3 linked regions of the Mus musculus genome follow. The protein of the gene in region 1 interacts with the protein of each later gene in a biochemical or structural test. Links are inferred from orthologs where the notes say so. Each region holds a gene or a part of one and is shown on either strand. Other genes may lie near its edges.

Region 1 (2,853 bases):
CATGCTCGGGGGCGTTTTCTGATTGGTCAGTCCAAAAGCTCTGACTGATCCAATTGGCTGTGTGAGGTGCAAGATGGACAGCTCCTTCCTCCCTGGCTCCCTCAGAATTTCAAGCCCTGTGTGTGTCGCCGATGTCTCACAGGGTCGTACATTCCCAGAGGCAAGAGTTTCGGTTCTTTCTGAACGTGAAGCTATTTTCCCTGTCACTGTATCCATAAGCTGGCACTAGAGAGTGGCGCGGGCCGGGACGTCCCGGTTCCTGGGCACCACCAATGGACGACCCACGTCCTCCGGTTGGCGTAGCGCCTACCCGCGACCGCACACCGCAGGCACGGGCTCGGGATTCCCCGCTTTGGCGTTCACCGGCGTCAGTTTAAACTACACATACACGTTTGGAAGCAAAACACCATGATTGTCAGTGAGTTCTATTTTTTAACCAAATCCGTAAAGATGCACCACAGTTTGATTTCTATCCTTTTCTGGACTCACGTTTTTTGAAATTATGTGGACGACATTTCTCATCCTCTGACGTGATCTAAATAATCATTATTACTATTGTTTGATACCCTGATTGTGACCTTTGGGGGAATCCTTGAATACAGCCCATGTTATCCTTGAAAGCCTTTGCTTCAGAAATCCTTTTTTTTTTTTTTTTCCTAATTTTCTTTCAGATCTAAAGATGTTTTATTTTGTTTGATAAAGCGTCATTTCAGTGTACTCTAAGCCTCAAAATTATTATCCTTCTGATTCAGCTACCGAGTACTGAAGTTATAAGCATGGACTACTGTTCTTTGAGTCATATCTTCTAGTTTTTTTTTTTTTTTAATTAACGTACGTTAACTGTGCTTAGTAATGGGTTTCATTTTGATAACTTCACACACACACACACACACACACACACACACACACACACACACACACCAGCTCTCCCCTTTTTTTCCTCTTCCCTCTGGTCCCTTTCTCTCTATAAATACCACCCCGACCCCATTTTTATGCTTTTTTTTTTTTTTTTTTTTTAATCTAGCTTCCACATGCTAGAGAACCCATGCCATGCTTTTCTTCCTGCCTGGATCCAGCTTACTTAACACTGTGATCTTGAGTTCTTTCCATTGTTCCAGCAAACGACACAATTTCTTTTCGTTTTTCTCTTTATTTTTTTCCATCTCTACCCCTCCCTATTTTTAAAAAATAGTGTTAATACTATGTAGCCCTGGCTAACCTCAAACACACAGATATCCACCATCCTTTGCCTCCCGAGTCCTGGAATTAAGCTTAACTGCTGAGCTACCTCCAGCCCTCGCCCCCAGGGGCGTCCTCAGACCAGGTGGATGTTTTTTTAGTATTCCAGAACTCAGGAAAACTATGCCTCGTTGTTATATAAAGGAAGCATGCAGAAAGGTTCTAGAAGGTTCTTTGTGTCTTGGGAGTCGAGGCAAGATTGTTTTGTTTTTTTATTTAACAACAACAATAAAAGCTCCAAGAAAGCGACTTGAGTTTTTTCCACAGACCCCGCTGCCCTCCTACCGAGCCGCAACTAACAGTTCCAGAGTCCACACCACTCAGAGAGAATATAAGAGGCAGGGTGTAAAGTCAATCCCCCAATGGACCAATCAGAGTGCAGCATCCCATAATGCCACCTGGTGGGCAGCCAATAGGAATGTAGCTGGGTCTATAAAAGCAGTGCTACTCGCCCCCCACATTGTGCACCTGAGGAGCAAGGGAGGCGGACGATTCAGGAAGATGGCACGCACCAAGCAGACGGCACGGAAGTCGACGGGAGGCAAGGCTCCGCGCAAGCAGCTAGCCACGAAGGTGGCCCGCAAGAGCGCCCCGGCCACCGGGGGCGTGAAGAAGCCGCACCGCTACCACCCTGGCACGGTGGCGCTGCGCGAGATCCGGCGCTACCAGAAGTCCACCGAGCTGCTGATTCGCAAGTTGCCATTCCAGCGCTTGGTGCGTGAGATCGCCCAGGACTTCAAGACCGACCTGCGCTTCCAGAGCTCCGCGGTGATGGCGCTGCAGGAGGCCTGCGAGTCGTACCTCGTGGGGCTGTTCGAAGACACGAACCTGTGCGCTATCCACGCCAAGCGGGTGACCATCATGCCCAAAGACATCCAGTTGGCTCGGCGCATCCGCGGAGAACGGGCTTAGGCTCCCACAGGCACCGCTCATGAACCCAACGGCTCTTTTCAGAGCCACCCACAGAGTCAGAAAAAGTGTCTGTAACGTAGACTTAGGTGTCCTGTCTCCTCAGGAGGTGAAGACAAGGTGGCCGGCAATCGAAGTGTCTCCCCAGATCAGTCTAGAGGGCTTAGCAGCTAATCCTTGCCCATTGAGCTATTTGACTTGCAGCTCCGTCCTATTCTAACCTGCCTTCCCTTGATAGGTATAGTGGCCTGAGCCCTTGTACTACAAGATGATGGTTGTGTTGCTGACTGGTTTTACCAAGTGAAGGTAGCTCCTACCGGCAGTAAACGTGCTATGTTTGCATAGTTGATAGTATCCAAACGCATCTGCTCAGTAACCAAGTTACTTATGTTTTGTGTTTTAAGGCTCATAATGCCTGGTATTAAAAAGGCTAGCTATTCCTGTACTTGAAAAGTTGGCCTTTCTCCTGATGGAAAGCCCAGTGAACTGCCTTTGATTAAAGTTAATTTTGCCCATCTGTTAACGGCGGCAGCAAAAGAGTCAGGAAAGTGTTAACTTACATATTTCCAGGGGACACATCCAGAGAATCCTGTCTTAAACGATTCCTGTAGGGTACGAAAGTCTAGCTGTTGTCTTGACTCAACCTGAGTTGTAAGCAATAGGAACCTCTCTTATCAAAAGGATGTTTTGCGCTGGAGTTTAATT
Region 2 (4,791 bases), on another chromosome or scaffold:
AGACAGCTCTCTTAGGTTCCACAACTCTTCCATCCACCTTGTGTGGTCTTGCATTCATGGCAGCATCCACTTCTTCCACAGTGGCATATGTGACAAACCCAAAGCCCCTGGATCTCTTGGTGTTTGGATCTCTCATTACCTGTTTAGAGTTAATTCAATCAATACACTGCCTGATCTCAGAATCAAAAGCCATTCCTAGTCTGATCAAGGCAAACATGAAACTTCAGAGTGGGGGGGTGGAAATGTAAGCTTCTTACAGATCTGAAGAAAGCCCCAGATTTTTTTTTACCATCCCATTAGTTAACTTCACAAAACAATTTAGCTAAGAAGCAGCAGATTAAATCGGAAGAAATAAGCCAGCTCTTCCTTTTGTTTCTTTTAATCTTACCACACAGTCTGTTAGTGTTCCCCATTGCTCAAAATGGCTCCTCAGACTCTCGTCGGTTGTTTCGAAGCTCAGCCCTCCGATGAAGAGCTTCCGCAGCTGTTCTGGCTCCTTGGGAGACTAAAGTGGAGGAGGGAGTGTTTAGCGGAGGGGCTGGAACCTGGGAAAATGAATCAACACCCCGCAACAACACATGCTACACTTTTTTATTGTTCTTTATTACTGCACGAGACCACGTGCTCCTTCCTAGGCTAGGAGGTGCTGCTGGGGATTCACTCGAGTTGCACGCAGCGCATGCGTCCTTACTTTTACTTCATACGCACGCGCAACAAAGGGCACAGGTTAGTCGGGTCCATCCCCATTAAGACTTAATATCTCTTTAACAAGCGATTGTTAGACCAGAATGGGGGAGGGGAAGAAAAGGCCACACTCCCCAGATCATTAGTCTGTGAAGTTTGCCACAAGGAACAGTGCATGGACGTTAATGGCGGTCGGATCGCAGCCTCATGGTGACTATGAGGACAAAATGGCGACCTGCATTTTTTTAAAGTAGGCCTCAGCACTAATCGATAAAACACCGAAACCACGGGTGCGAGCAGCAAAACACGTCACATCCCGCTATATTCAGTAAGTGTGGAAGAAAGAGAAGCTGCAAAGCGCATCCAACTTACCTCGGACTTAGACATGACGGTAGAGTTACGAGAGCCTTCAGCGATGCTTCCTCGGCAGCGTCAAAGAGCAGAAAGGAATACGATAACGAACGTGCCCGCCAGCCTACCTTCTGCTCGCCCTTTTATCCCGCCTCCTCGCTCTCGGTATTGGTAGACTCCGCCCTTACTTGAGTCTTATTGGAGATTTGAAATTATTCCCTCCCACCATTGGCCCGTGAAGACGCCCTGCTAAGAAACGGCATCCGTTTGGGCGTTCTATTCAGACTCCGCCCCTTTGAGTCACTGATGCCCCAAGGGATCTTATCCTTAATCGCATTGATTGGCTAACTAGCCAGTCACTTATATTTGAATGTATTCACGTCTTTTAAATGCCTTTCATAACTTTCCCACACCCGAACATTACAAACTCACTCGTCAAAGGACCGCACGCTACAAAGTAGCTCACCGCGACTTTTCCCAGCCACTCCCTATAAGGCGCATGTGTAATAAAAATGGCGAGTTCACGCCGGCGCACTACGATGTTCCGCCTGCTGCCTGGAACACGTGAAATGGCGGGCGGGAGAGGGTTGTGAACCTAGGCGCCTGCGTAGTGGCGGGACCAGCGTCCAGTTTTGCGCAGGCGTTTTGGGCGGAGAAAAGGTCCAAGCCCAGGATTGGTTGCGCAGGCGCAGGGAAGGATCCGTTTTGGCGGGCGGTTGGCATTGCGCAGAAGGCGGCGGTAGCGGTGGCTTGTGGTGCCGCTTTACCACAGAGGAACCGTGCAGGCCTTAGCGTGAGTGATCACTTTAGATCTTGGGTAAGTGGCAGAGTCTCGTCTACCCGTACGAGATCTTGAACCCGCTCCCATTGCACCGGTTATTGTACGAAATGAATGGACCGCTGAACTGGTGGGGGGGGGGGTGGACGACGACAGTGAAGGGGCCGCGACGGGTCGGGCCAGCCAATAGGACAACTGGGGCGGGATGTTTTATCCTTGCAGGTTCTGTGAAGCTGCCTTGCCGAAGCATTTGACTGGCGAGCCTATAGGCCAATTGGGTTTTCCTATAGCTGCCTACCGATCGGTCCTTGGGCCATCGGAATGTGGGAGGCGGGTTTTTCTCGCCTGAGTTGCGTCTCTCCGAGCCAATGAGCCCCAAGCGCGCGATTGGCCGGCCTTCCCCAAGAGGCAGAGGCTGGACTCCTGTGGGGAGCGCGGGAGTTGGCTGGTTAAATTCTTAGAGCAAGCCAGGAGTCACTAGAAAGACAGGATTCCCCCCTCCCCCCCCCAATAAAGCTTACTCTTGCATTTGTGGGGGCGAGTATTTTAACTTAAAATGACTCCTATAACTAAGGCATTCATTCTGTATATTACCTTAGGGAAAACATATGTTTTCTTGTGGCCCTTGAGTTAATCATTTTTCTTGTAGTTTTTGGTACGTTCCTCCCTTCACTTGAGACTTTGGAGAACGTGCCTTTAGTCTTTGAAAACTTTTAAGAGAAGAATATTGAAATTTTGAATGAGATGACTTAGGTAAAGTACTTGCAATGAAAAGCATCCAAGAAAAATAGACTTAACCACTAGCACCCATTTCCAGGGACACTGTATTTGTATTTCTATCTCTATGAAAGTTTTTGAGAGTTACATGTCAAAAGTCAAAACGTGTTGCTTCTATGGAAACAGTGGGGCCAAGGCCTGTATGTTTGAGGGATAATTGTCATTGATGAAATAATGAAAACCTTAATAAAAATAGACACATTTGGTTTTTTGTTTGTTTGTTTTGTGTCATCATGTACTTGTCACCACCATTCATGTTCCCAATTCTTTTATCTGAATCTCTTCTCCGAAGAACATTTTTCTCCCCTAACATTCAAGATACTCTAAGCTCCTATTTCTGCTGTTCATTTGAGGATGTCTGGTGTGGGGTGAAAAAGCTGATTCATTTAGGAGGTATTTAGGGTGTTGGGGACAGAAGACTCCACCATATCTTGAGTTGTTATTCATTGTTTTGATTCCATATATTTTTGTATTTTCTCTGCAATTTTGTTGGTGTTGATAATACCCACACTTCTCAGAGTATCTAGACAAATGTATAATTTCCATTTATTATCTGTGTCTGTTGATTTATTTATAGTCTTTGAGGTAGAGGTACCTCATTGTGATAAGAAAATTCCAGCCTGGCGTTAGTGGTCATTGCCTTTAATCCTAGCAGGAAGATGGATATCTGTTTGAGGCCAGCCTCCTGGTCCATGTAGTGAGTTACTTGACAGCCAAAGCATAATCAGACCCTGTCTCAAAAACGAAGAAAAGAAAGAAAAGAAGATAGTTTCATACTTTTTACAAAAGACTGATGATGCCGGGTGGTGGTGGTGCACGTCTTTGATCCCAGCACTCGGGAGGCAGAGGCAGGCGGATTTCTGAGTTTGAGGCCAGCCTGGTCTACAAAGTGAGTTCCAGGACAGCCAGGGCTACACAGAGAAACCCTGTCTCGGGGGGTGGGGGGGGGGGGACGGACGGACTGATGATTTCAATTTAGTTTTCTGTTTTATGTCTCAGGCTGGCCTCACATGAAGAGATCTACCTGTTGGTGCTATCATGCTTGACAGGTTTTTTTTTTTGTTGTTGTTGTTTTTTTTTTTTTTTTTTGGGTTTTTCGAGACAGGGTTTCTAAGTATAGCTCTGGCTGTCCTGGAACTCACTTTGTAGACCAGGCTGGCCTCGAACTCAGAAATCCACCTGCCTCTGCCTCCCAAGTGCTGGGACTAAAGGCGTGTACCACCACCGCCTGGCGCTTGACAGGTTTTAGTGATGTTTCTAATGAATAGAGATTTCCATAGTCACTGGCACTTTAAAAAGGACAAACATATTATACAACCATTAGCTGCTTATTTACACTAACAGTGCAACTTCAGTACTGAGCTCTAAAGTGATAGTGGACTCACGGCATCTACCTAGATATGGTTCAGAATATTTTTTTTTCCTTCCAGACATGGTTTCTCTGTGTAGCCCTCATTCTGTAGACCATGCTAGTCTTGAACTCAGAGATCCGCGAGCCGCTTGTTCTCGAGAGTGCCGGGATTAAAGGCGTGAGCCACACTTGCTCAGTCTCTGCTTTCTTCCTTTCCTTTCAGTGTTTCAGTTTTGTTTTTTTTTTTTCAAATTTTTATTAGGTATTTTCTTCATTTACATTTCAAATGCTATTCTGAAAGTCCCCCATACTTCCCCCCCAGTGTTTCAGTTTTAAAACAATACCAAAAATGTAAAAATGAATAATAAAGTCTTCCTCTAAAAGGGCTAATGCTAGAATTTATCATTTTCAGACATTTAGCAGTTAGCAAAGCATGGAGGAAATGACCGCCCACCACCACAACCACCACCACCTTGTCTTGGAGTACTCTTTAATAAATGGACCATTAATCCTGTTTTTCCTCTGGTATAGATTAGTTTCTGGGTCTTGAGGTTAAAAAGGGAAATTTTACCATTTCTTAGAGAGTGAACATAGGATTATGGCCAACCTGTATGCTTTGTGAGTTTCAGGTCAGCAGGGCCTACTCTGTCTTATAAATGAATAGGACTGATTACATCTTCAGTGTATGTGACTTGTTTTTTAAAAAAAGGCAAGTAAGGGGCTGGGTATGTAGCCCTATCTTAGATGTTCTTAATTTTGTAGCAGATATAGGCCCATCCTGACATTCTTGGGTTTTTTTTTTTATTTTTTTGGACAATGTTTCTCTGTGTATGGGCCTTGGCTGTCCTTC
Region 3 (4,788 bases), on another chromosome or scaffold:
ACATCCACAACCTTCCTCTTTCGAACGCAGTCAGAATGGAGCTAACATTTCTGATGGTATTTGGGGTTAGTGTCTCCATAATTTTTCTCTTAAGTGGTTTTCCCTTTGAGACAGTATTTCTCTATGTAGCCCTGGCTGACCAGGAACTCACTCTATACACCAAACAGGCTGGCCTTGAACTCGGAGATCTACCTGCCTCTGCCTCCCTAGTGCAGCGATTAATACCACCATGCCCTGTTTCTTTTACTTTTTTTTTTTTTCTGGCTGACATATATCAGCCAGTGGGGGTGCAGCTCATTTGGTGGAGAGCTTGCTTTTCTAGCATGGAAAAGTCTGGATTGTATCTCCAGTACTATAAATTCAGCATGCTGCCAAGGTTTGTAATTACGGGGCTGTGAAGATAGAGGCGGGATGATTAGCTCAAAATCGTCTTCCTGTATACAGTGAGTTAGAGGTGAGAGACCGGGCTACAGGAGATCCTGCCTTAAATAAAAAAGAAAAAGAAAATGAAAAAAAAAAGGCATTTAAGAAATTAAGGAGGGGGGGGACTCTCTCAGGCTTTGGAAGTGACTTGAAATCCTGCCTCATTTATTGTTCAGAAAACGAAAAGGAACAACTTTCTTTGGTTCCTGCCCCATCCTTCCCACCCGCCACGATGACTGTTCTTGGCAGAAGGCCAGACCAGCACCGGGTAATTCCACAGTACATTGGGTACATGCGCATGCATTTAACCCGCTATTTAAAGAGATCCTTTGCTGCCACCTGTAAGAGGACATAATGACACTCTTTAAGTGGCTGGGCTGGGAAGGGAGTTTTCTTCCCTCAAAGATGCCTGAGTCTGTGAAGTGGTTGGCACTTGGAGAAACTAAAGAAACATCTAGGGACATCACAAATACAGGACCGGAGGCGAGAGAAGGAGGAGCGCTAGACACAGGGTCCTGGCTCCGGCTCTCCGCTTGGTGGCTCCATCTTCAAGACAAGGAGAAGGAATCGGCCAAAGCTCGGGTGCGGCCTGATTACCAGCCTGCTGCCATTTGGGTTTGCTGAATTCCTGGATCTCTCTAGGGGCCTGGAGATGCGAAAGAAGATGGAGACTGGGGACTCCTGGGTAGGACGTTCAGTCGGGAGGAATCCAGGACGCAGGACGCCCCCTGGAGTCGAGGGAACTGGCTTGTGGAGGCAGCGCTGGGCAGTGGAAGGGGGACGGGGCACCTGCGCTCCTGGGCCCGCCGCACTTTGCAACTCTGGGCAGTAGCGAGCCGAGTGAAGTGGGGCTCGAGGGCAAGAGGAAGTAGAAGCTCAGGAACCAAAGGCTTCCTTAGTTCCGAGTGCGCTCCAGCTGTCCAGGAGTGAGATAGTGGTAGGAACACCCAGCATGACGCACTTCCAAGTCCCTGGTGGCACATCGTGGGGTATCAGGTGCTCTGAGCCCCTCACCCACCCCAGGCGGGTACCCTCGAGGCCCCCGGCGCTAGCGAACAGCCGGCGGCGACCTGGACCGCGTGGCTGGCGAACAGTGAACCAAGCCAAAAGGTAAACGCCGCCTGGTCTGCCCACTGCCTGGTCTTAAGAGGCGGCGCAGCTCCGGAGCACCTTGGGTTCTAAGGATCCTCACTTCTGGGAAAGGACAGGGAACTGTCAATCAACGAGGGAGGGAGCGCACCGGCGCCGGGTGATGTCAGCGGATCAGCTGCTCCATAACAAAGAGGGGGTATCACAGGAGAAAGTTGCAGTGGCGGCAGCACCCCAGAGCCTCCGGGACCGGGGACGAGAGGAGAGGGGGCGGCGGCTGCGGCTGCCGCGGCTGGCGGAGGAATTGAAAGGACTGTAGGGGGAGGCAGCGCGAGCCGCCCCGACTGCTCCTCCTCTTCCTCCCCCTCCTCCCCCTCCTCCAAACTCGCAGGGCTTAGCTCCAGCGCTCGCTCAGCCACCAGGAGCACCCAGAGGGACGGGAGCCGGCCGCACGGCCCCGGGCTGGGTAGGGTCTCAGCCGCCATGGATAGCGACGATGAGGTGGTGGAGGAAGCCGTGGAAGGTACAAGCTTTTCTCCAGGACTCTGGGGTGGGGACAGGCGCCTGGGGCGGAAAGCGCCAAAAGAGTGGCGGTCTGCGACGCGCGCCGGGCCGAGCCGAAGGCCGCCGCGGTCCCTAAGCGGATGGCGGGTCGCTCGGCTCAGGCGGGGGCTGCACTGCCTACGCCACGCCGCCGGGAGCGTGCGGGGCGCGGCGGGGCAGGGGCGGGGAATGGGGCCCCGCGGGGTCCGCCGCCCTGGGAAAGCTGGGCCCCTGCATCCCGCCTGGCCTCGGCAGCATCCTCCCTGGGAGTTGCGACGCTGCCTAGCACCTTGGCCTTAGTCCTTGCGGGGATGGAGGATGGGAGGGCAGTCCCTTGAGGCCCGCGATCTCCGCGGGGCAGCGTTGTTTCAGCCACCTCGACTTCCCCTCTCCGACCGCCTGCCCTTTTCCTGACTGAGTCGCTGCGTCCCATGGCCACCAGGGCCGGGTCTAGGTGGGTCTCCCATCGCAACGCACCCGGCCGCACACCAGGCACATGGCGGCCCTGGCCGCTCCTCCGGGGTAAAAAAAAAAAAAAAAAAAAAAAAAAAAAAAAAGATGAAATCATGGCTAGGTAGAGCACGCCGCTCCCCACCAGGCTACCCTGCCCCTGGGCGAACTCAGCCACCCGCCCTTCCCCCTCCCGGCTTCCCAGCGAGGTGCAGGCGCGCCGTGCGGACGCTCCAGCCGGGACCCAAATTGCTGGGTGACACTTAACTTTCTGAATTCCGAGCTGTCGGCTGCCGGTGATATCACCGCCTGGGTGTCAGGTTTCTCCGCCCCCTCTTGCGCACCCCTCCCCCGACTCCCGTCGCCACCGTGTTTTGCTGAGTTTCTCCGCCTCTTTTTTTTTTTTTTTTTTCTTTTTTGCCCCCCTACTTATAAAACGTCCGTGGCGACGTTATACAATCTCGTTGTTTGTGGCTTGAGAGGTTATGATTTTGTAACAACGAACACTGGAAAACACTCTTAAGCGTATTTATTATTTATCTTATTCTATCCCAGATAGTGTTCCCGTGATGTTTTTGCAAGATTGCGTAGTGTTGTTCCAGAATTTGTTAAACACAGCAACTGACTAATTTTAAGTCGGTGGTTGAATCTGGTTTTGATCTCATTTGTATAAACAGGTCTGACAAACGATAAAGAAAAAGTGGCTGTGCTTAACAAATGCATATGGATATGTACTTGTTAGTGCTACGTGGGGAGAAATCTCTTTGGTGTGTCCATAAATACAACTTTTGCAGACTGCTGAAGGCTTAGGGTGAGATGAAGCAGAATAATTTTTTGAATTTCCGGAAAGGCATCCATTCTAATTTACTTTGTAAAATGTATTTCTTCATTTTAGTTTTTGTTTTGTTTGTTTGTTTTTTTTTTAACAACTTTTAAGTACATAGTTTTGCTTGTAACTTTTGGAGAGACTAAAATGCGGATCCACAGAGCTTACATTTCTCTAAATAAACCCAGTGTTGGGATTAATGAGGCCCAGCTAGCATTGTTTGAGCCAATCATAGGAAGCCTTCTTTAACTTCCAAAGTTATTGACTTCTTGTAAATTTCTGCTATGACAGAAAAAGTGTTCTTAACAAAGTGCCACTGTCGCTCTCATTCTTCCTGGGGTTTTTTTGCCCTAAACAGTATTTTTTAGGTTTGTTTGTGTTGTTGTTGATGATGGTGATTTTTTTATTCTTTAATGTCATGCGCAGTGGTGTTTCTGTTTGCATGTATGTCAGCGTGAGGATGTCATATTCCCTGGAACTGATGTTACAGACAGTTGTGAGCTTCCATGTGGGTACTGGGAATTCTTCCCAGGTTTTATGGAAGAGCAGCCGGGGCTCTTAACCACTCAGCCATCTCTCCAGCCCCTCCTCCTGTTCTTTTACTTGCAATTTTTAAAAACAAACCCTTAAGCACAGATAGTGCCCCCAGCCCAAGCCACCTTCTCCAGGGCTGATGTTTAGAAAATGTGCTCTGTTGTTTATGATCCTAGCACTGGCATGTGAACAAAAACCAGGCCCGTGGCATACACACCTGCAGGTGGAGGCGGAGGCAGGAGCATCAGGAGGTCAAGGTCACCCTCGGCTGCATAGCAAGTCCAAACCCAGCCTGAACTATAAGACCCTGTCTCAAAATGATAAGAAATGTTTAAAGTATATTTTCAGGTTTCATGTTAGTCCAGTAGATTCAAAACACTGCAGTTTCTTTACCTTAACTGTAGGGGTGGTGAGGGGGGGGGCTTTTATATAGGATGGACAGATATAGCACTACTATAAATCAGCTCATTAGAGCAAGAAAGGCACCATTAATAATTATGCTATGACAGCTGGCTTAAACGCTGGCTTGTCTTGGGCAGTCACTCAGTTTTACCTAAGAGTAAACAAGTAGAGGAACTTCCTTGTTTTGCTTTTTTGCAGATTTTTGTTTTTGTGGATCTGTGAAACACGATCTCTGTGGCCCAGGCTGGCTTTGATATGATGTGCTGCCATTACAGATGTGATATCTATTCCTGGATTTTTAAAAGAACAACAACAAGACTCACTCTCTCTCTCTCTCTCTCTCTCTCTCTCTCTCTCTCTTTCTTCCTTCCCTTGTTTCCTTTGCTGTGTTGGGCAAACAATATACCACGGAGCTACATACTCTAGCCCAAGAGTGACTTAGTATTCTAAAGTCCTTAGAAAAGCCAGGTATAGTGGGGCATATATGTTATCCCAGTTACATGGGAGGCAGGAGAGAGGAT

Evidence for each region. The genes of interacting proteins can lie anywhere in the genome.
Region 2: the proteins of H3f4 (region 1) and Cbx5 interact in a test that uses a peptide from one of them, tested with the Homo sapiens proteins (5 studies listed by BioGRID, with this or other methods). The link is inferred for Mus musculus from reciprocal best matches to the Homo sapiens genes H3-4 and CBX5.
Region 3: of the proteins of H3f4 (region 1) and Setd7, one has a biochemical effect on the other in vitro, tested with the Homo sapiens proteins (2 studies listed by BioGRID). The link is inferred for Mus musculus from reciprocal best matches to the Homo sapiens genes H3-4 and SETD7.

The regions. Positions count from the first base shown.
Region 1 is NC_000077.6:58,960,072-58,962,924, forward strand, and holds H3f4 (predicted gene 12260), read left to right. Parts: upstream 1-1,639; 5' UTR 1,640-1,740; coding exon 1,741-2,151; 3' UTR 2,152-2,202; downstream 2,203-2,853. UniProt on the Homo sapiens protein: Core component of nucleosome. Nucleosomes wrap and compact DNA into chromatin, limiting DNA accessibility to the cellular machineries which require DNA as a template.
Region 2 is NC_000081.6:103,236,794-103,241,584, reverse strand, and holds the start of Cbx5 (chromobox protein homolog 5), read left to right. Parts: upstream 1-1,732; 5' UTR 1,733-1,852; intron 1,853-4,791. Other genes in the region: Hnrnpa1 (heterogeneous nuclear ribonucleoprotein A1), read right to left, coding at 1-139, 389-505, 1,057-1,071. UniProt on the Homo sapiens protein: Component of heterochromatin that recognizes and binds histone H3 tails methylated at 'Lys-9' (H3K9me), leading to epigenetic repression. In contrast, it is excluded from chromatin when 'Tyr-41' of histone H3 is phosphorylated (H3Y41ph).
Region 3 is NC_000069.6:51,557,765-51,562,552, reverse strand, and holds the start of Setd7 (histone-lysine N-methyltransferase SETD7), read left to right. Parts: upstream 1-1,729; 5' UTR 1,730-1,995; coding exon 1,996-2,035; intron 2,036-2,344; exon of another isoform or gene 2,345-2,568; intron 2,569-4,788. UniProt on the Homo sapiens protein: Histone methyltransferase that specifically monomethylates 'Lys-4' of histone H3. H3 'Lys-4' methylation represents a specific tag for epigenetic transcriptional activation.